Linked DNA regions of Rhinolophus ferrumequinum. The protein of the gene in region 2 interacts with the protein of the main gene of each other region in a biochemical or structural test. Links are inferred from orthologs where the notes say so. Each region holds a gene or a part of one and is shown on either strand. Other genes may lie near its edges.

Region 1 (10,119 bases), on a different chromosome or scaffold from region 2:
AATTTATAATTAATAATTTAAACATAAGATGATTGAGAATTAATCAAGTACAAGTAAAAATGAGTGTTTTAAATGTTAAAGCAAACTATATTAGATTTATTAATAAAATTTGTAAGTTGAGCACCAAATCTTCAAAAAAACTAAGCTCTAAAATTTGCAACCATAACTGAATATTAACTAAAATAAAAAGAGCTATAAAATGCCCAACAACATGGATTGGTTACATAAATTATGATTCATCCATATGATGGAATTTCTGATGAGTAAAAATAACTTTGTAGAAAAATCAACATGGACACTTGATTTTTTGAAAAGCAAGCTATAAAAGAGCATGTATAAGATGATCTCATTTTTTAAATACCAATTTAAATATCAATAGCATATATGTATATATATGCTATACATGTATATGTATACTGTATATACATACATGTATAGAGGAAAAACTAGATGGACCAACATCGAATTGCTAATAGTTACTATTTGGTACTTATAGTATTTGTGTATGACTGTGTACTTCCCAATTTTTTGTGCATTAAACATGTATACTTCAGCTAGAAAAGGAATATTCTTTTTAAAATAAGAAAAGAAAACGGAGGTAATGGTGTGTAAGTAGCAATGAATAGCTCGAAGAATGCCCACGTTCCTGGCTCCACCATCCATGGCATTGGAGGAAAATAAGTAGCATTTGAGAGGACTACGGAGAGGAGTTTCCTTGAGGTAAAGCCGGGGTTCTAAGGCTGAGGGCATGTTTTGTAGAAAATTGACCATACTTTCCATTGGGACCCTGCTATGGCTGGCACATGTGTCTATCAAAGCCCCTGTAACACTTTGATGCAAGTATTTGTTTATGTGACTATCAAGCCATATTAGATTATCCACCTCTTTGAACATAGGAATTATCTTCCTCACCTGTGTAACTCCAGTGCCTCCAGAAGCATTTAATAAGTGTTGGTTGGAGGGAATGAAAAATTATTCTTTATTACTTTTATTGCCTGTCCATTTCAAAAATGCTTGCTCTGAGTTGAAGACCCTTCACCGCACCCCGCAAAAAACCCCAACCTGCTCCAAAGTATCGTCTTACCAGCTTGCCACAGTGATTGAAATCCTCCCCACTGAAGTAACTTTTTAATTTAAAACACTGTCTCCAAAGACTATCCAAAGATTGTCTCTTGAACTCTATCCATCCCCAAATGGCAAAATGATCATGATTGATGGATACATGTATCGTTAGATTGTTCCCCATACTTTTGCATATGACAGAAAATTTCTATATTACAAAGTATTTTAGAAACCTGTGGGAAAATTAAACAAGTCATGCAACAAATATTTAATGACTAATGAGAGCATACTGTATGCTGGTCATTGTATTAAGGTCTAGGAATACAAGTGTGAGTACAAGTGAGGGGTGTGGGTGGGGTGTGGGTTGGAGTGGGACAAACATACTGTGCTACATATAGAAGTGAGAAACAAGAGGATCTACCTAACTCACAGTTGGGGTGGGGTGGGGAGACCGTAGAGTAGTCCCGGATGAATCTAGAAGGTGAATAAAAGTTAGACAGACTGGAAAGGGCAACAGAAATGGTGAGAAAGGGGAATGAGTCATTCCAGGCAAAAACAACATGGGAGTATCAAGACATGGAAACCAGGTAGAATGTAATGAGTTTGAAGTCCTAGTTCACTATGACTCCAACTTCGGGTTTATATGCAGAAATGGTAGGAATAAAAATAGGGTGCAAGTTAAGCTGTTGTTACAGAAAGACCCCAAGGTCCAGTGGATTGAACACGATCAAAATTTATTTCTCTCAAGTAGCAGTCACACATGGTCAATTTTGACTCCTCCCCTCAAACTCCCCACATTAAATTATTTTGAAGAAAACTCCAGACGGTACATCATTTTTAAGTTTTATTGAGATCTAATTGACATGCTCTGTAGTTCGCCTATTAATGTATAATTCTATGGTTTTTAGTTTATTTACAGAGTTGTGCATCTCTCGCTATAATCTAATTTTAGAACATTTTCATCATCCTCAAAAGAAGCCCTGTACTCATTAGTTATTCCCTATTCTCCCTTCAACCTTTCCATTTCATATAATTTTATCATATCTGTAAGTATTTCATATGCACACATAGAAAGATAGGAACTATTTAAAAAAATACATAATAATATCATTATCACGCATAAAAATGTCAGAGATAAAACCAGTAGTCATATTTTCCTGATTATTTTATAATTTATTTTCAGTTTGTTTGCTTAAATCAGGGTCCAAGAAAAACCCTTAATTGCACATTGCAATTGCTTTATCTATCTGTTAGGTTTCTTTTCATCTATCGGTCATCCCTCCAATGCTTGCTTTTTTTTCTTACAAATTTTTGTTGAAGAAACTAGATTATTTGTTCTATAAAGTCTCCTGGGGTCTGGAATTTTCTGATTGTATTATTATGTCATTGTTTAATCTACTCCACCGTCCTATGTAATTTCCTATAAATTGGCAGTTAGATCTGGGATCTTAATCAGATTCAAATATTGTTTGCTTGGATAAGACTACTTCAGTGGTGGAAGTGTTGTGTCAAACTTCCATTTAAATGTTCTTTTATTGTGAATACATCATACTCATAGCAGTATATAAAACTAATTGTAGTTTAAAGAATAATAATAAAGTGAACATCCAGACCCCATTGCAGAGGCTAAAAAACAAGAGTATTGCCATTTGCCTTAATAAAATCGACTTCTCTTTGCATCCCATTCTAGAGGTAAGAACTATCCTCACCTTTGTGATAATTATTCCTTCACTTTCTTTATGCCCCTTATGAGCATATTCCTAAAGAGAATTTGTTTGGTTCAACATTATGATTTTTGAGATTCATCCATGTTGTTTTGGGTAACTGTAGTACATTCATTTTCACTTGTATAGGATTTCATTCTATGAATATATTGCAGTTTATTCTTTAGCTAGTGGACATTTAAATTATCCCTGATTTTCTGATATTACAAACGGAAATGCTATGAACATTCTGGTACAGGTCTCCTGGTGCACATGAGTTTCTCTAAATAGATATAGAGATAAAGATAGAGATAGAGATACAGATGAGAAACCGATGGTGTAATGTGTGCACCTGCTCAATTTAAGTAAGTAATGTCAAATTATTTTCCAAAGTGCTTATAATCATTTAGATCCCCACTAGTAGTGGAAGTTACTCATTGCTCTGAATCCTTGTATACACTTGGAATTGTCAGATTTTGCCAATTGGTGGGTTCAAACTCTTTATTGATAAAAGATGTGTAAAATTGAACGATATAGTTGATATTTCAACTGAATTTACGGGAATCCTATTCAAATATTTCTTTTGCTTGTCCCTTATTTGCAGGAAAATATAAAGTTTTGGATTTAAAAATGACACTAAAGTATTTCACCTATAGGTTGCCCATGAAAATGTGTCACAATTGTTGAAGGGGGAGAGGGAGATATTTGTGTAATTTAAGGTTGGAAAGATGTTCTAAGATGAATGGCCACTTACTCACGGCTATGTAGCAGCTAAGCTTTATAGTGGTAAGAATCTAGATAAAATACTCATTTGTAGGGCTCATGCAAGACACCCCATTCAACCCAGAAACACACTTACTCTTCTCTCTTCCAGTTTCTTTTTTCGTCTTATTCCTCCTCGTTGCTTCTTAACCCTTTAGCGGCTTGTTTATAATAGGCTTCATATCATGAGTTCTGGAACCAACATTTTCCACTTGGGTGTGCATAACTGTTAATAGCTGTGCAATCTAGGGCTCTCGACAATATAAGGCTACCTTCCTAGAGTACTGTTGTGAGGTATAAATTAGGTATCATAATAGATATATGACTCTAGGTACACTTCAAGAATGATGGGTACTATCGCACCTTCTAAATGGCAGCCTATACCTCATACTCCAAAATTTTTCAGTCCACAAAATTTGCTCCACCAATTTCCAGGGAAAATCAGGTGCGTACAGAAGCCATTCCAAGTTTCTCCCCCTCTTACTACATCTTCTCATGGAGATTTCTGCCTTGCATCTAAGATTCTTTGAAAAAGCAGCAGTATCTTCATGATTTTGTGTCCTCAAACAGTGCCTCACCCAAGCTGTTCTTTCGCAAACTTGGAATCATCAGTTTTTTTAACGCTGGTAGTAACCAAGCTATAAATAAAAGGTAATGCATTCGATCTTGGCAACTGGAAGGCTCACTAGCCCACTTTTCTTCCCATTACCAGCCTGCTTCATTGCTTTTATTTCTTCATGCTTCTTAACTCATGCTTCTTCCTCTGGTTCTGTGTCTGACCTCAGATAGACACTTAAAATTTTTGTTTAAGTTTGAATTGTGATAAAATGCACATAACATAGAACTTACCATTGTAGCCATCTTTAAGTGTACAGCTCAGTGGTATTAATTATATTCACATACTGTTGTGCAACCAATCTCTAGAGCCTCTTTGTCTTGCAAAATTGAAGCTCTGTCCTCACTTAATAACCACTCTCTACTCCCTCTGCCTCCAACCCCTGGCAACCAAGCTTCTACTTTCTTTCTCTATGGATTTGACTACTCTAGGTACCTTATATAAGTAGAGTCATACGGTTTTTGTCTTTTTGTGCCTGGCTTAATTCACTTAGCACGTCCTCAAGGTTCCTCCATGTTGTAGTTTCCTCCCTGTTTAAGGCTGAATAATAGTCCATTGTATGGATATACTAATTTTTTTATCCATTTATCCAATTTTGTTTATCCATTTATCTTTGGATGGACATCTGGGTTGCCTGCACCTTTTGCCTATTGTGAATAATGTTGCTATGAATATAGGTTCACAAATATCTGTTTATGACCCTGCTTTCAGTACTTTTGGGTACATACGAGAATTAGTGTATCATATGGTAATTTTATTTTTAATTTTTTTGAGGAACTGCCATATTGCCACTACGGTGGCTGCATCATAGTAGACACTTTAAAGTTTCTGTCATGCCTGCGGGGTAGGGGAAGGTCTATTATTTTTCTATAGACTACAGTAGTGAAAAAGGGTTGTATGGCCGAGAGTGAACATTGTCAATTATCATGCTTTATTAGAAAATGATTAAAATAATTAAAAGCCTGGAAATCCTAGAATTTGGAGACACATTATAAACCATTGGATCCATTCCCCTCCTTTCCAGGTGATTAAAGTGGGACTCTGAGAAGGCAATGGCTTGTGAAGGTCAAAACGCTGCTTAACAAGAGTCAGAACTGGCATCCACAGCTTTCCAATCTTCAATTTATTGCAAATAAAATAAATTTCAACTTGAAATACTATGTAATGAAGAACAAGAACTACGGAGTGGATAATTCAAAACATCCTCTGGGATGCACTGTCAGTGTTTTGCTTTTGTTTCTATGGCAGGTTCTAGCCCCCGAATTGCCTGGGTTGACATTGAAACAGCCTGTTTTTCTTGCTGCCACTGCTGGCTGGGTCCTGGGCATCCTAGGAGACGGAGGGGGAGACAAAGGAAACCAGCGGGCAGTCAGGATTCACCGAGCGCGGAACGCGACCCTCTGCTGGCCTGCGCGCTGGCCAGAGCCGCGGGTGGAGCGCGGTTTATCTCCCATCCTGGGGCCTCAAAGACCTGTCCCCGTGCTCCAGGATCCAAACGAGAACGTTCAGGGACTCGCGGGGTAAGGCCGGTCTTGCCGTGCCTCCTCCCCACCCGGAGCGGCAGAGCCCTTGCTACTGCCCGGGCGAAACGATGCCCAATCCCCGCCGCCACCGCCGGGGAGCCCCGGGAGCGCGGAACGCGGGCTGCGGACACGGCGGGCACGTGGGCTCGGCCGAAGAGCTGCGCCGGCTCTGCCCAACCTCTGCTCGCCTGCCTCGGCCCCTGCGGGTGGGGAGAGGGATCCTCCCCCCTTCCACTTTGCACCAGTCCGAGGGAATTTGCGGTCGGTGACGCGCATCCTTAAGCGAGCCACCTGCAGCGCGGGGCGCGCCGCTCTGGGCGGCATCGCAGGCTGGGCCGGCGCGGCCTGGGGACCCCGGGCTCCGGAGGCCATGCCGGCGTTGACGCGCCGCGGCGGCCGGCTGCCGCTGCTCGGTAAGACCCTGCCCGCCCGCTCGTGGCCCCCATAGCCCCCGGCGCGGCCTCAGCCGCCAGCCCGCACGGTGGCCTGGCGCGCGCCTCCAGGTCCCCACCGCTGCGTTCCTCCCCGCGCCCGCGCCCCTCCCCTATGTTGCGCCCTCCCGACTCGCCCTCAACTGGCTCGCGGCCCCCGTCCTGCCCACCCCATATCCTCCTGCCTCTTCTCTAAAGTCGCTGCCCGGCTCGGGTCGCGTCCGGATCTGCGGCCCGGACTCCGCGGGCGGCCTCGCCGAGGCGCTGCCCCGGGCCGGGGCCGCTCCGCCGCCTGCGCTCCCGCTCGGTTCGGGTGCTGGGCCATCCGCCAGCGTCTGGGACCCCCAGGCTGGCGCCGGTTGGCTCGGGACCTCGCCAGGACCGACCCTGGATATCGTAGGCTCCCGGGTGGCGTCTTTCAGCTCTTCTTTTGGGGTTTTTATGTGTGGAGTGAACTCTGATTGGAAAATTCGCCCGCGTTTTCCCGAAGAGACTCATTCGTAATAACGACCCCTACCCACGCCAAGTTTCGGTTGGGTCAACGAGTAGTGACTTTGGAAATGTTATGCAAAGAGGATTTGCATATTAAAATACTAGCTGCCCCTTCCTCCTCTACTGGATTTTTATCCTGGCATTAAACCCCAAGGGAGTTTTCAAGGACTCAGGTGACGGTTCCCAAATAATCTGCTGGGTAGCATAGTGATTACTACTAAATAAATAAATAAATAAATAAATAAACAAATAAATAAATAACCCTTTCTAAAAGATCCACTCCATCCGTTTGGAAAGATGAGATGGTTGACTCTGGAGTTTGGGATGAAGGAGACAGAGTTCTGGGAGACCGAGAGCCTCGGGTCCCTTATTCTCCTTCTACAGTCTTGGAAGCGGCACCCACAGCTCCCACATTCTAGGGTTCTAACTTAAGGTCTCTGTGGTAAAGAGAGAAAAGATTTCCGATATAGACGTGCAGGAAGTATGTCCAAAGCTGTTGTTACACATCATTCAGAATTACAGAGTAAGAAACGTAACATAAGGAGGAAAGAAGTGGGAAAACAGACAGTTTGCATTTCTGAAACAGATTTACTAGTTGGTAAATAGGTACATTTCAAATGCATAGTACAATATGTTTTTCAGTCTATGAATAAAAAGAGTTAACTTTCTGTTAGGTATGACACCGATAAGTGAGTTTTTCGGTGGCACACAAAGGCTTTGGAAAAGTAAAGATCAGTATTTGCAACTATATTTAAGCTGCATTGAATTCTTTATTTAGGAATGAGCCCCCAGATTTTGACATCTCTCTCCAGATTTTTGTAAATGAGGTATAATTTGCATATAGCAAATATGCACAAATCTTAACAGTGCAACTTCATTAGTTTTTACATACAGGTATGTATGTACCCACATAATCACTGTTGGACCAAGTTTTGAGCAAGTCTAGCTCCGCCCTGTTTCAGTCAGTACCCTGCAAACGTAGCCACTATTTCGACTTCTTATACCATTGGTTTGCCTGTTTTTGAACTTCATGTAAACCAGACCACCATGATATACTCTTTTATGTCCAGATTCTTTCACTCAATATTGTGATTAGGAGATTCAACCTTGTTCTCAGCAGCAGTGGTAATTTTTTTAATTGCTGGGTACTAGTCCTTAATATGAATATACTATACAACTTATCCATTCTCTTGTTGAACATGTAAGTTATTTTCAGTTTTGTGTAATATGAATAATAGTGCTGTGAACATTCTTTGGCACATTTTTTGGTGGACATGAACTCCCATTTCTCCTAGGATGATACCCACGAGTATTATAGGGGAAGGTGTATATTCAGTTTTGTTGGACTCTGTCCAACAGTTTTTCATAGTGGTCGTACCAGTTTACATTCCCACTGGCAGTATATGGGGGTTTCCAGTCCCTCGCATCACTGCCAACACCCAGTAGTACAGATTTTTTTTAATAAAGAAACACAAAATGAGGAGCTTAAAAGTGAGGGCTTTAAAACGTGTAAAAGCTTTGTCTAACCACAATGCTGTACACCCAAAAGTAATATAAAACATTATTGAATAGCAACCATAATGGAAAAATTTAAAAATGTCTAAAAGCTCTAAATTCCTGAAAGTATAATATTCGATCCCCATTTCCCTGATATTGTAAGCTCTACCTTTCATGAATAATGAATGCTGAGTCTTTCTAAGAAGTATGTACAGAAATGTACTGGCCATGGCCTTCACTGCATTGTGTGCTGGTGCTGGATAAGAAAGGGGAGGACTTCAAGATTTCAGTAAATATGATATACGACCTCTTTCACTAGGGTCAGAAAATTCATATTTAGAGACTTGAATTGCACATTTTGGTTGCTATCCGTTGTCCTAGTTGCTTATCTTACTTTATTGGCTTCCTTGTAAACTGCCAGCCTGAGGGGTGGGGAGTGTGATTCAGGAGGAGGAGGAGGGAAGGGATGCCAGGCAAAGACTGGTTTGGATTGGATAAGACACCAGGCCTGGTGAACTGATGTTAAAAGTCCTTTGCATCGGGGCCATCATACAAGTTTAGATTGGCTATTCATTTCTTCCCAGGTACTTCACATCATCCTCTTAGGTTTAATTGTGAACTACTTACCTTCCATTAAAGAATGGCTCTCCTTTTTATAACTAGAAAGACATGTTCAGTAACCCTTATGTATCAGTAAAGATTTTTGTTGTTGTTGAATTCTCCTATTGTTTAACTGAAAAACAGCCAGGTAATAAGATATTAAATGGGGAGAAGGACCACTTACTTATATTCCAGATAAGACTTCAGACAAGAAAGATGATGCGGAAGCATGCATGAGAAAGACTGAAATTTTTCTTGGATAAACTTTAATTGGATACCTATTTTTCTGTGCTAGACACAAGAGGTAGAAAGACAAAAGAGATGGGGATGAGGGAACTTACATAGAAATAGTGAATTCCATTCTATTTAAGAAATGCATGGATGTTGCCTTTCCTCAGGAAAAGCATTTGAGCACAAAGCTTGCTTTCAATTAATTCAACCTTCCAAAACAGTTCTTGTGGTCACTAAATATCCATAGGAGAAAAATAGCATGCTTCAATGAAGGAGCTTCAACCAGGATTTTTGTCTGCTAAAACTACTTCAACATGGCTGCCCTGTATTTAATGGTTGTGGGAAAGAAACTGCTCTTCCATTTTGAATAAAACAATTGGACAGCTCCAGAGTTCGATATGACCATCTTTTGGGTTTTGGGGAGGAAGTAATTGTCTACATGGTTCTTTGAACAAGTTTGTTGACTACATTTTACTCCCAAAAAAGTGTTTCTGCTCACTTGAGAAGCCCCCGCGATGGCTCAGCCTTACCACTTTCTCTATAGTTCATGTTCCTCTCATCTTGTCATTTTCTAATGAAACCCAGAGAGCAGTGTGACGAAAGCCCTTACATGCAATGTTCAAGATTACAATCTTGCTGACTCCTCAAATACCCACCAGATATTGCCTTAATCTTTGGGTAAAGATTCTGATTTGAGAAAAAGCAAATCATCTCAAAAGTATTGTAGTTTAGCATTTTTCTTGATGTTGAAAGGGATCTTGAAGAAAACCAGAGTAAGAATTTGGAGTGGGGAAATGGAGGGGCTGAAACCAGCTTCGTCTGTTTTATAACTGCTCAGCTTGGTCTTGCCACTCACTATGCTGCATCCTTCATTCGCTCTGAAAGAGCAAACTCTTGAGAACCTCACAGTATGCGGTGTGTCTGAGTAGAGCTTTTTGCTTTTCATCAGTTGGCTTCGTGATCTTAAGATTTTTATCCTGACTTCCAGAAAAGCTTTCGCCACTTCTCAGTTAAGTAGCCATAGTTATGTGGCCGAATGTTTTTCTGTCTTTTGGGGGTCTGTGAGCTCTACACTTATGTGATTTCATTACCTTTGATAGATATCTTCTATAGCTGTATCATCAGTGGTCCTCAAAGGATGAAAACTTTTGTTGTACTTGCTTGATGGTTGTTAACTTGAATCATGCAATTCTGTTCTATGG
Region 2 (10,024 bases):
GAGTAAGAAGTCAGCAGGCACTGTCTAAATGTGATCACCCAAAACGTAAGCAAATGAGCACATAATAAGAAACTAAAGGGAGAGAATTCTAGAAAAAATAGCAATAAAAATATAAAATGGTTGCTTTTAGGGAGCAGTAGTAGCGGATGGGAAAGTATTGTCACAAATTAAAATTTTAAAAAAGAAAAATGAACTCTGGTCACACCATAACATTTCCATGACAACTCAATAGAAATGGATAGATTTAATAAATTATCAGACTGGCCAAGACAGAATGAAGATTTATCAATTAAGACAAACAGAATGTGCTGTGTTGGACATCAAATGCCATGCAGAGTATAACAAAACAAACCAATACTTAAACTGTGGCTTTTCCTGAAACGCTGCTGCCCTAAGGGGCTCCTCCATTGACCCAGCCAGTCCTGGGCCTCACTTACCCTCACACCAGCCTGCATTCCCCGTAGGGCCTGCTGCCTGCTCAGCTGCCTCGTACCATACTTCTCACACTCAGCATGCCAGTCTGGAAGGCCAGCACGCTCCTGCGTCCGTACTCCCCTCTAGTGCTCCAGCACAGCAGCGAGGGGTACTGCCACCAGCTTCAGAAGCAAGGACTCCAGTGTCAGAGCTAGCTAGCTACCCCAGAAGAGAGCACGGTGCTCACCAGGCACTGCCCATCACACAAGCTTTCAGTACACCCTCCATGGTCACCGTGGCGTCACCAGTACTCTAAATCAGTCCTATCTTCTTCCTCCTCTCATCGCCAGCCTTTGGTGGCCTCCAGAAATAAACACATGGTTTTTCCAAGAATAAAAGAATCAAGAGGGAGTCAATTTTGATTTATTAAATCTACTGTAACACATACTAAATGTTCTTTTTTCTATTGGTATCTATGGCCTTGACTAAATCTGATTATACTTAAGATTCCAATTCAATCACCTTTCAAGAGTCACATGGCAAAACTTACATAATTAATTCTTAAGGGCAAAAAAAAAAGTCAAAATGATGCAAAATAACTTTGTCAGACAAACTTATACGCTAATAGAAAATTTCCCTGGTAATATAGTGTCAAAATGGATGATTTTTTTTCCTTTAAAATTTAGCCTATTTTTTAAAAATTTTCCCACAATTCCTCAGTTAAAAAATTTTTTTAAACTCTTTTCCACGTGAAAAGGAACAAACCTGTTCAAATCAAAGTAGAAGAGTAAGATGATAGGACATAATTAAATCAGGCAATTTAATTCCAATCTCTCTTTAAGATTCTGCCTTTTGATTTTAATTGCTTTTAAAGAAAAAAAAAGTTCAGTATGCAGACATTTTTAAAAATTCTCCCCAAACGCCTAAATTCCTAATTTTTTCTCCACTCATTTATAGCTAAACCAATCCAGAAGTGGAAGAAAATGTTAAAACTTGCAAACGAGGGGCAGGGGAGAGAAGATGAGTTAGTTGGAAAAAATCTGTTACAGTGAAAGCTTTCTCAGCAAAAATGAGGTCAGATTGGAGTGTCCTGCCATTCCTTAGGCACAGACGACAGAGCCAGCTGCACAGTGAACAGGAGACATTTCTTCCAAGCACATACTGCAGTTGGAAATGGTGATAGTACCCTTTCCTTGAGTAACCACTGTGTTCTTGCTCTACAATCCTAGACTGTCAGAAAATCTGCTGTTTGAAAGTACATCAGTAAGGATGAAACATCCTATTCTTACTTGCAGGATTTACATTTTGATGGTTATCACTGAAAATTCAGTGAAGTTATGCTATTTCAGACTCCCTGACAAGAAGGGAATTGCCTATCTAATTACTGAAAAGTGTGAGTTATTGGGCAATAGAAAAGCAATGTGTTTTCAAAAGCAAAACAGTAGCTTGATGGAGTCTCACACAGACTCAGTCCTTTAGTCGAACTCCAAAATGCTCTGAAAAACAGGTTTCTTTGGTAAGTTTTAGGGACTCTCATTTAGGGACAATGCCTGCCCTAAACTGACGCACAGCTAATTACAGTCTTTATTTATTCCACATACTGAGGCTGTTCACAGTGTCAATGCACAAACATTAACGTGTGCCATTACAGGAGGCTGTATCGGAGTGGTACCCACCATACGGTGTCAGTGTGCATACATACCTGTCTAAATTCTGAGAAATGTCTTTCTCAATGCTAAAATTCTAACTTTGAATTCTAAACTGTGAAAAATCCTGCATTCCAAAACCTATCTGAGCACAAGGGTTTTAAACGATCACGAACATGCAGTGTGCTGCCTAAGTGGTGTCCTACTAAGAAGTCTGGGTTAAAAACAGAGAAATCAGACCTGCTCTCAGAATATTAAACATGAGCTGAAGGAAAGCTAAAGTGAGCTATTTCTGAAGTGTAAACCTACCAATTAAATGATCTTCCAGCCAATTTCATCCCCCAGGAAAGGTAAGGACCTAAAGTACACACCTCATTTTCATCATGGCTTAAAACATTAAAAACAATTCTAGTTAAGACTACATAATCCTACATATCTAAGCATTACAGACATAGAGAATACAAATCAATTTCTATTTTATTGCAAAACTCTAAACACATCACACATATGATGTAGATAGAACAAAATGATTTGATAAAATCATTTTAACTGACAAGATTTCTCACTTAAAACACCTAACACTTTACAAGTATTTTAATCATTTAGCTCAAATACAAATACATATATCTATGCACCATCCAGACTTTTGGCAGGGAGGGGCATTAATGAATTTAATTGCCTTTAATTGAAATCCTGCCTGTGAAATAGCAATGAATTTGTCCTTACTAAAACAAAGAAATCAGATACTAGAGTCAATTCCATTTCTTCTGGAAATTCTCCATTATCACAATTATTATTTATTTATTATTATTATTATTTAGTACGAAGATTCAAATGTGGGACAACTCCAACTCTTTCAACTACACGCTGAAATGTTCCGAGGGTTTAAGAGAAAGACCAATTCCTCCAGTAACAGTTCTACTTGGGTTCAATGAAATCTTTGGGGAGTCAGGCAAACTCATTCAAGTAATCTGCAACACTGTTTCCAACTTAGAACGATTTAAACTCTAATTTCTCCAACGAAGCCTTTCTAATACTTCAACATTCAGACAAACGAAAAAAAGAATTGTCTTTGTACAGTTATTTAGGTGGGTTTAATATTTTAAACCATATTGACAAAAAAACAAACAAACAAAAAAACAAACAACACTTAAAATTTACATTTTACTGCATAAAACTACCCTGCGCTCCAAGTCATTCATTGGCTAATTAAGTTACTTTACCACGAAAACGTGTCGTAAAAGGAGCAATCATGCAAAATTTTGGTAGTAGTTAAGAAAGTTTCATGTGTCGATGCAACTGCTCTTTCTTTCTGTAGTACACGAAATGTAGTGTATATAAAACCTCTGCAGGCACACGAACATTTGTACATTGAGTCACTTCGATAAATACAGTGGAATTTTCCAGGGCATTCATGTAAATGGACGAACGAAAATTTCTTATTTTGGAGTTCCCCGTGCCGGCGGACTCCAGCTCCTGCTTCCCAGGACCCTGTCGGGACACTGTGGGCGCTGCCAGGGCACCTGGGGTCCGGGGACCCCCGCACTGACCCCCGGGCCCAGGCCTGGCACCTAGTACAGGAGTCGGACCCCGTGAGGCTCTGGGTTTAGGAGAAAAGCTGGCACCACCTACCTGCTTCTATTCGAACGATGTCATCAATTTCCCCTCCTTTTTCAAAGGCCGAAGGCCCCGAGCGTCCCTGCCCGGCTGAGCCCGGACACCCAGAAAGCGGCCAAGGAGGCGCAGGGCCGCGCTCCCTGCTCGCCGCCTTCCCGGCCCCAAAGCGCCGGGGCTCCGCGGTCCCGCGGGCCGAGCGGAAGGAGCGCGCGCCACACCTACCTGCGCAGGTAAGGCGAGGGCGGGGCGGCGTGGGGTCGCCGTGCGGGGCGCCGGGCGCGGGGCCGGGGCGTCGGGAGGATGGGAGAGGAGCGGCGCCGGCCGCGGAGTCGCCTCACCCGCCCAGCGCGCGGCGCTTCCTCATTTTGGGCAACTTCCTTAACGCGCCCGGGCAGGCCCCACACTTCCTCCCGGCCGCCTCCCCAGCGCCCCGTGCGCCCCCACAGCTGCCTGTGCCCCCAGCGCCAAAGGCGCCCCGAGAACCCAGGGCAGGGCAGCGGCGGCCAGAGCGCGCGGGTACCCGGCGGCGAGGTCGACCTGGGAGGCCGGAGGGGAGGAGGAGAGCGGCCGGGTGACCGTTCCACCCGTCTCCCGGGCACAGAAGCCCGGGACAGGGGCCGTCATATACCATGCGGGGCACTGCCAACAACGAGAACCTCTCCCCCTGTCGCCTTTTTTAAGGACGACAGGCTGTTAGGGGCACCCCCATTTCCCCGTGCAATTCCTCAGGAAGAGAACCTTTTTCCTTGTGCGGTGCATTCCCAGTCATCAACCCGAGACACCCCTGCTGACCGGTGACCAGGAGGCCCTGGAATCCCGCCAGGTGACCTGCCTGAGATGAACGCCAGACTTCAGGCGCACCTTTGGGTGGGCCCAGCTTGCCCAACACAGCCAGTTTTCTGATGGCTTTAATTGCTACCAAGTTCTTGACAGTGAGTTTGACTTGCTTCCTTCTGTAATACCTACCGCGGTCTGCAGTCTGGAGCTAAATAAATTATTAATAAGTTTAACCCTTCTCTGTAGTCCTTAAAATGGTTTTAAAACACCTACCTGGTTCCCCTTCCCCATCCTCTCTCCGCATTTTTTTCTTTTTCTGTTGGACAGCCCTCTTTGAAATGTCCGTTCCCCTGAAAGTTTCCAGACCCTCACATTTTTGGTAACACTGTTTTGAAAACCTGTACCCTGAGCCAAAACACAATGACCAATACAAAATAGTGTGTTAGATTATAATTGACATGGAGAAGAATAAGGCGATAGGAAGTGTTTACATTAGATTGGAGCCCCTCAGACTTTCCACTTGGGCATTCTCTTCCAGTCATTTTTCCATTTAATTTTTAACCCAAGGAAGGGTTTTTATTATGATTATATTTGTTAACCACTGGACTTGTTTTTGCTTCAAAGAGCCAGTGAAATAGCAGTTGTTCTCTAAAAGACTGGAGGCTGCAGGAGGTTTTTAGAGTCGGCGATGTTGCTGAAAAGTAGAGTCGGCGATATTGCTGAAAAGTAGGGGTCCTGCCTTGCGTTTACTGAAATTACATGTTTCCTTAGGGGCCGCTAATGGCGGTGAGGTAGGTGATGTTCTAGATCCATCTGCCTGCCTCCCTGTAGTACTGGGTCCTTCCCACCTTTGAGTCATCTTTAAAAAGTTAATTAGTATGCTTGTAATGATTTTTTAATGTTAAAATTATCACACAAATATCTATGAATAGAAAAAATCTTCCTGAAACTCAACACATTTCTCCCAGCCTTTCTTCTTTCCCCCCATGTGCTGAGTGCTTTTTATCTTTTCACTGTGATCAGTCTTCGCTGTGATTGTATGCTGAGTCCTGGAAGCCCTTCTAGCAAAATGCGCACCAGGATGATCTCAGGGACACTACACACAGTCACTTTTTAAAGTCTCCTGTTCCCTGCAGATTATTATTTTTATTTCTTTAAAAATAGTCAATGTTTTTCCCCCAGTTTTGTTGTGTTATTTCCACCACCTGAAGTCTCGCATATCTATCTGCTTGTGTTGTCTGAGTGTTTCTGTGGTTCTTGTTCACGGTGCCTGCCTTACTGTGTACTTGGTCACGTTAGACTGTGTACTTGGCCACTTGTTGTCCCTGAAATATTTGTGGAAATTAGTTGAGGCCTGGGAAGAAGGTATTTTCTTTCAGAGAGAATTTTTCTTTGCTTCTGTGCGAAACCTAGGGTTTAACTAGTATTTGGATAATTTAAGAAAAGTTCTCAGGTTACATTTTTTTCTTTTTTTCTTTTTTTTTTGGATCACCAAAGTGATATGAATTTGGGCTGGAAATTTGGGCACAATTTTGGTCAATTTGTAGTTACAGTTTCTCAAGGATGCATTTCTTCTGTTTCTGTTCTGTGCTTCCTTTCACTTTTATTTTGGAGTTGTTTCTTGTATTCCATGTTGTTTCTTGTATTCCTTTCTCTTCCTTAGTTTACTCTGTCATTTTGGTGGATCACAATCTCCAGGAGTTTCCTGACAAATGGAAGTACAGTGGTACCTCGGTTTTCGACTGTAATCCACGAGTTCTGAAACGTTCGAAAACAGCCTACTGCGAGGCCTCAGGATCTTGCACTTAGCGGAAGCCACGTGACATGTTCAACTTCTGAGGCGTGTTCGAAAACAGAAGCATTTACTTCCAGGTTTACGGCATTCATAAACCAAAATGTTCGTCAATGGAGACGTTCGAAAACCGAGTACTACTGTAGATAGTTTAAAGACCTCCCATATCCAAAAAGGTTCTATCGTCAACTGTGATTGATGGTTTGGATGTGCTCTTCCATCCTGCATGATTGTATAGAATTCTAGTTCAGAAATTACTTTTCCTCACAATTTTAAGCCATTATTCCATTGTTTTCTTGTTTGCAGTGTTGCTGTTGAGAAATCCAAACCATTCTGAGTCTTTTTCCTTTGTCTATTCATTCTGATTCTTTATCCTTTGAGCATAGTTACTAGTCGGGTGTTTTACTTGCCCACACTTGCTAGCTTCTCCAGGCCTTCTGTTTACTCCTCTGTGGGTGACAGCTCCTTGATCCTTACATCAGGATCAAAGAATCATTGATTCTTTCTTCGTTCTGGGAGTCACTTTTAGGGTTTATTAGTCCCTTTATGCCTGATTTTCTATAACCTTTGGGCATTGGTTATGGAGTTGCGTTGCTATAACTGGGTCCTCCCTCCTGCATGAGAATGGGTTGAAGGCAGGAGGGTTCACTCTTCATTGGGAGATGGAGAGGGAAGAGCTTACCCCACTCTTTTGGGGGCAACTTTGAGCATCAGCTCCGTCCCCCAGTTAATGTGGGTCCCTGGAGCCCTCAGACTTCTGACAGTCATACAGAAAGCTGACATTTCTCTTTTTTCTCTAATCTCCACTGCAGACATTTTCACTACCTCAGAGTCAAAAATGGGGAAAGCTAAGAATAAATTATCACTCCTCTTTCTTCTATCAAGATTTGAATGAGAATTGTCAAGATTTTGTAGACACACCAGTTATGGTTTCTGGGAGGTGGGAGCATGACCTCACCCTGCTCCTCTCAAACTTCTGTTTTCTATATGAGCGAGCATTTTCTGAAGTCCATCTCATTAAGCCCTTCTCCTTTTCTTGTTTGGTTACTACCGGTGACTTTTACATTTTTGTTTTCTCTTCCGTTTTTGCTTGGGTGGCAGAGAGGGAGGGAATCTTTTTGTTTCTAGATAGTGGGACCTTGAAACTCCATGAATATTTCATTACTTTTATCCAGAATTTAATGCCAGACATTTTTTTTTTACTGTAGAATATATCCGTACATTGTACATTTTAATATTTAGAATGCAAGGTCCTCATATTTAACTCTTTCAAATTAAAAATACGTGAGTTACACATGACATGTGTTAGGATGCTTTAGGTTGCAAATAAAAGAATACTCAACTCCAACTATTGAAATGGTAAAATTTGATTGGCAAAAAAGGGAGAAAGTTCCAGAATGAGGACAGCATTAGGTGTACTTTTATACAAATAATTTTAAGTTGAGATAAAAGTCACACACACAAAATTCACCATTTTAACAATTTTAAAATGTAGGTGTACCTTTACAAAATGTAGTTATTTAACCCTATCTTGTCTTAAGAAGGCAAGTTATTTTTGCTAGACCAGCATCGCTGAATCTCCGTGATGCCCACCACCTGGGCACATCTATCTGCCAAAATGCCACAGAATGTCACCAGAGGAACAGCCTCCTTCTGCTGCTCAGCTCCCTCACCAGCTCAACCCTGATTAAAAAGGGACCTTTCACCTACAAATGGTGGACTTCCTTCTTTTTCTGTTGTCAATGAGGTTTTGAACAAGAAATAAAAAAGTTACTTAAGGACTAAGGATAGCATTTGAACTTAGGCCACACGTGACAGCCCACTGGTGAGAACTCTGGCCAGGGTCAAAAGCACGGGCTATCTTCCCAAGGCTGCCCCTTTCCTGGGCGTGTAGCTCTGAGGAAGTCAAGCCTCCTCTGCATACCTCTGATTTCTTATTTTCTGTGAAATTCAAGTTGGCAAACAATTACAGCAGTACCTCGGTTTTCAAACGTCTCCGTTGACGAACACTTCGGTTTACAAACACCGTAAACCCAGAAGTAAATCCTTCGGCTTTGGAACACGCCTCGGAAGTGGAACATGTCACGCAGCTTCCGCTGAGTGCAAGATCCTGAGGCCTTGCTGTTGGCTGTTTTCGAACGTTTCAGAACTCGAACTGTCTTCCGGAACGGATTACATTCGAAAACCGAGGTAACATTGTATTGTGTATCTTTATTGCCAGACATGATCCTATACCCGGAGATTAAAAAGGATGGAAAAATATGCTCAAAAATAACTCCTTCACATACCACAACAGGCAGCCATGTATTTGTCTAGCAGTTTACTTTTTAAAAATATAATTACAGCTGGCCCTCAGTATCTGAAGGTTCAACCAACCAAGTAGCAAAAATATTGGGGGGAAAAAATCACAGAAAGTTCCAGAAAGCAAAACTTGAATTTGCCTCACCCAAGAACTACACTGAATCCACACAAATGAAATGGTATGAAAATATAGGTTATATGCAATTGACTCATTTTTTATTATTGAGTTGTAAGAATTTTTTACATATTTTGGATACAAGTTCCTCATTAGATATATAGTATTCTCCTATTTTGAAGGTTCTCTTTTTCTTCATTGTATCATTTGCAGGACAAATTTTTTTTTTTTAATTTTTATGAAGGTAAATTTAGTTTTTCTTTTGTTGCTTGTGTTTTTGTATTATATCTAAGAAATCATTGCCTAACCCAAGGTCGAGAAGATTTACTCCTATGTGTTTCTCTAGTTTTATAGTTTTAGCTTTTACATTAATGTCTCAGATCCATTTTTAATTAACTTTGGGGTACAGTTTAGGACAGAAGCCCAACTTCAGTTTTGTGCATGCACATATCTAGTTGTCCCAGCACAACAGTAGTTATCGAAACAACTAAGTTGACCTTTGTACAATGCAGGTGTTAAGGACGCCAAACCCTCTCACAATCAAAAATCTGCATATAACTTTTGACTCCTCAAAAATGTAACTACTAATAGCCTACTGTTGACTGGAAGCCTTACCAATAATGTAAACAGTCGATTAACACATATTTTATATTATATACTATATTCTTACACTTAAATGAGCTAGCGAAAATGTTATTAAGAAATTCATAAGGAAAAGAAAATACGTTTACAGTACTGTATGTATTTATTGAAAAAAATCAGCCTATAAGTGAACCTGTGCTGTTCAAACCCATGTTGTTCAAGGGTCAAGTATATTCTGTTCACAATTAATTGTCTTGCCACCCTTGTTGAAGATCAATGCAAGAGTTATTTCTGGGCTCTAAATTCCATTCTCATGATCTATGTATCTGTCCTTATTCCAAAATTACAGTCCAATTACTGAAGTTTTGTATTTCTTTGGAAATTGAAAAGTTTGAGTCCTACAACTTTGTTCTTTTTCAAGATTATTTTGGCTTTGCATTGTGATAAGAATTTTAGGATCAGCTTGTCAATTTCTGCCAAAACAGAAGCTGGGATTTTGACAGGGACTCTGTAGATCAATTTGCCATCTTAACACTATTAAATATGTCCATCCATGAACACGGTCCATTTGTTTTTAGCATTTCTTTAATTTCTAAATATTTTTAAAGTATTCTTTAATACTTCTTTGAACATATTTATAATAAGTCCTCTGAAGTCTTTGTCCATGACATTCACCATCTGGGTCCTACAAAGGCCCTTTCTGCCTCCTGCTTTCTATTCCTGTGTACAGGTGATACTTTCGTGATTCTATGCGTGTCTCATTTTCTTTTTTGGTTGAAG

The links.
Region 1: of the proteins of SYK (region 2) and FLT3, one has a biochemical effect on the other in vitro, tested with the Homo sapiens proteins (2 studies listed by IntAct, with this or other methods). The link is inferred for Rhinolophus ferrumequinum from reciprocal best matches to the Homo sapiens genes SYK and FLT3.

Annotation. Positions count from the first base shown.
Region 1 is NC_046287.1:99,998,279-100,008,397, reverse strand, and holds the start of FLT3 (receptor-type tyrosine-protein kinase FLT3), read left to right. Parts: upstream 1-5,834; 5' UTR 5,835-6,036; coding exon 6,037-6,079; intron 6,080-10,119. UniProt on the Homo sapiens protein: Tyrosine-protein kinase that acts as a cell-surface receptor for the cytokine FLT3LG and regulates differentiation, proliferation and survival of hematopoietic progenitor cells and of dendritic cells.
Region 2 is NC_046295.1:3,381,959-3,391,982, forward strand, and holds the start of SYK (tyrosine-protein kinase SYK), read right to left. Parts: upstream 4,026-10,024; 5' UTR 3,900-4,025; exon of another isoform or gene 3,693-3,899; intron 1-3,692. UniProt on the Homo sapiens protein: Non-receptor tyrosine kinase which mediates signal transduction downstream of a variety of transmembrane receptors including classical immunoreceptors like the B-cell receptor (BCR).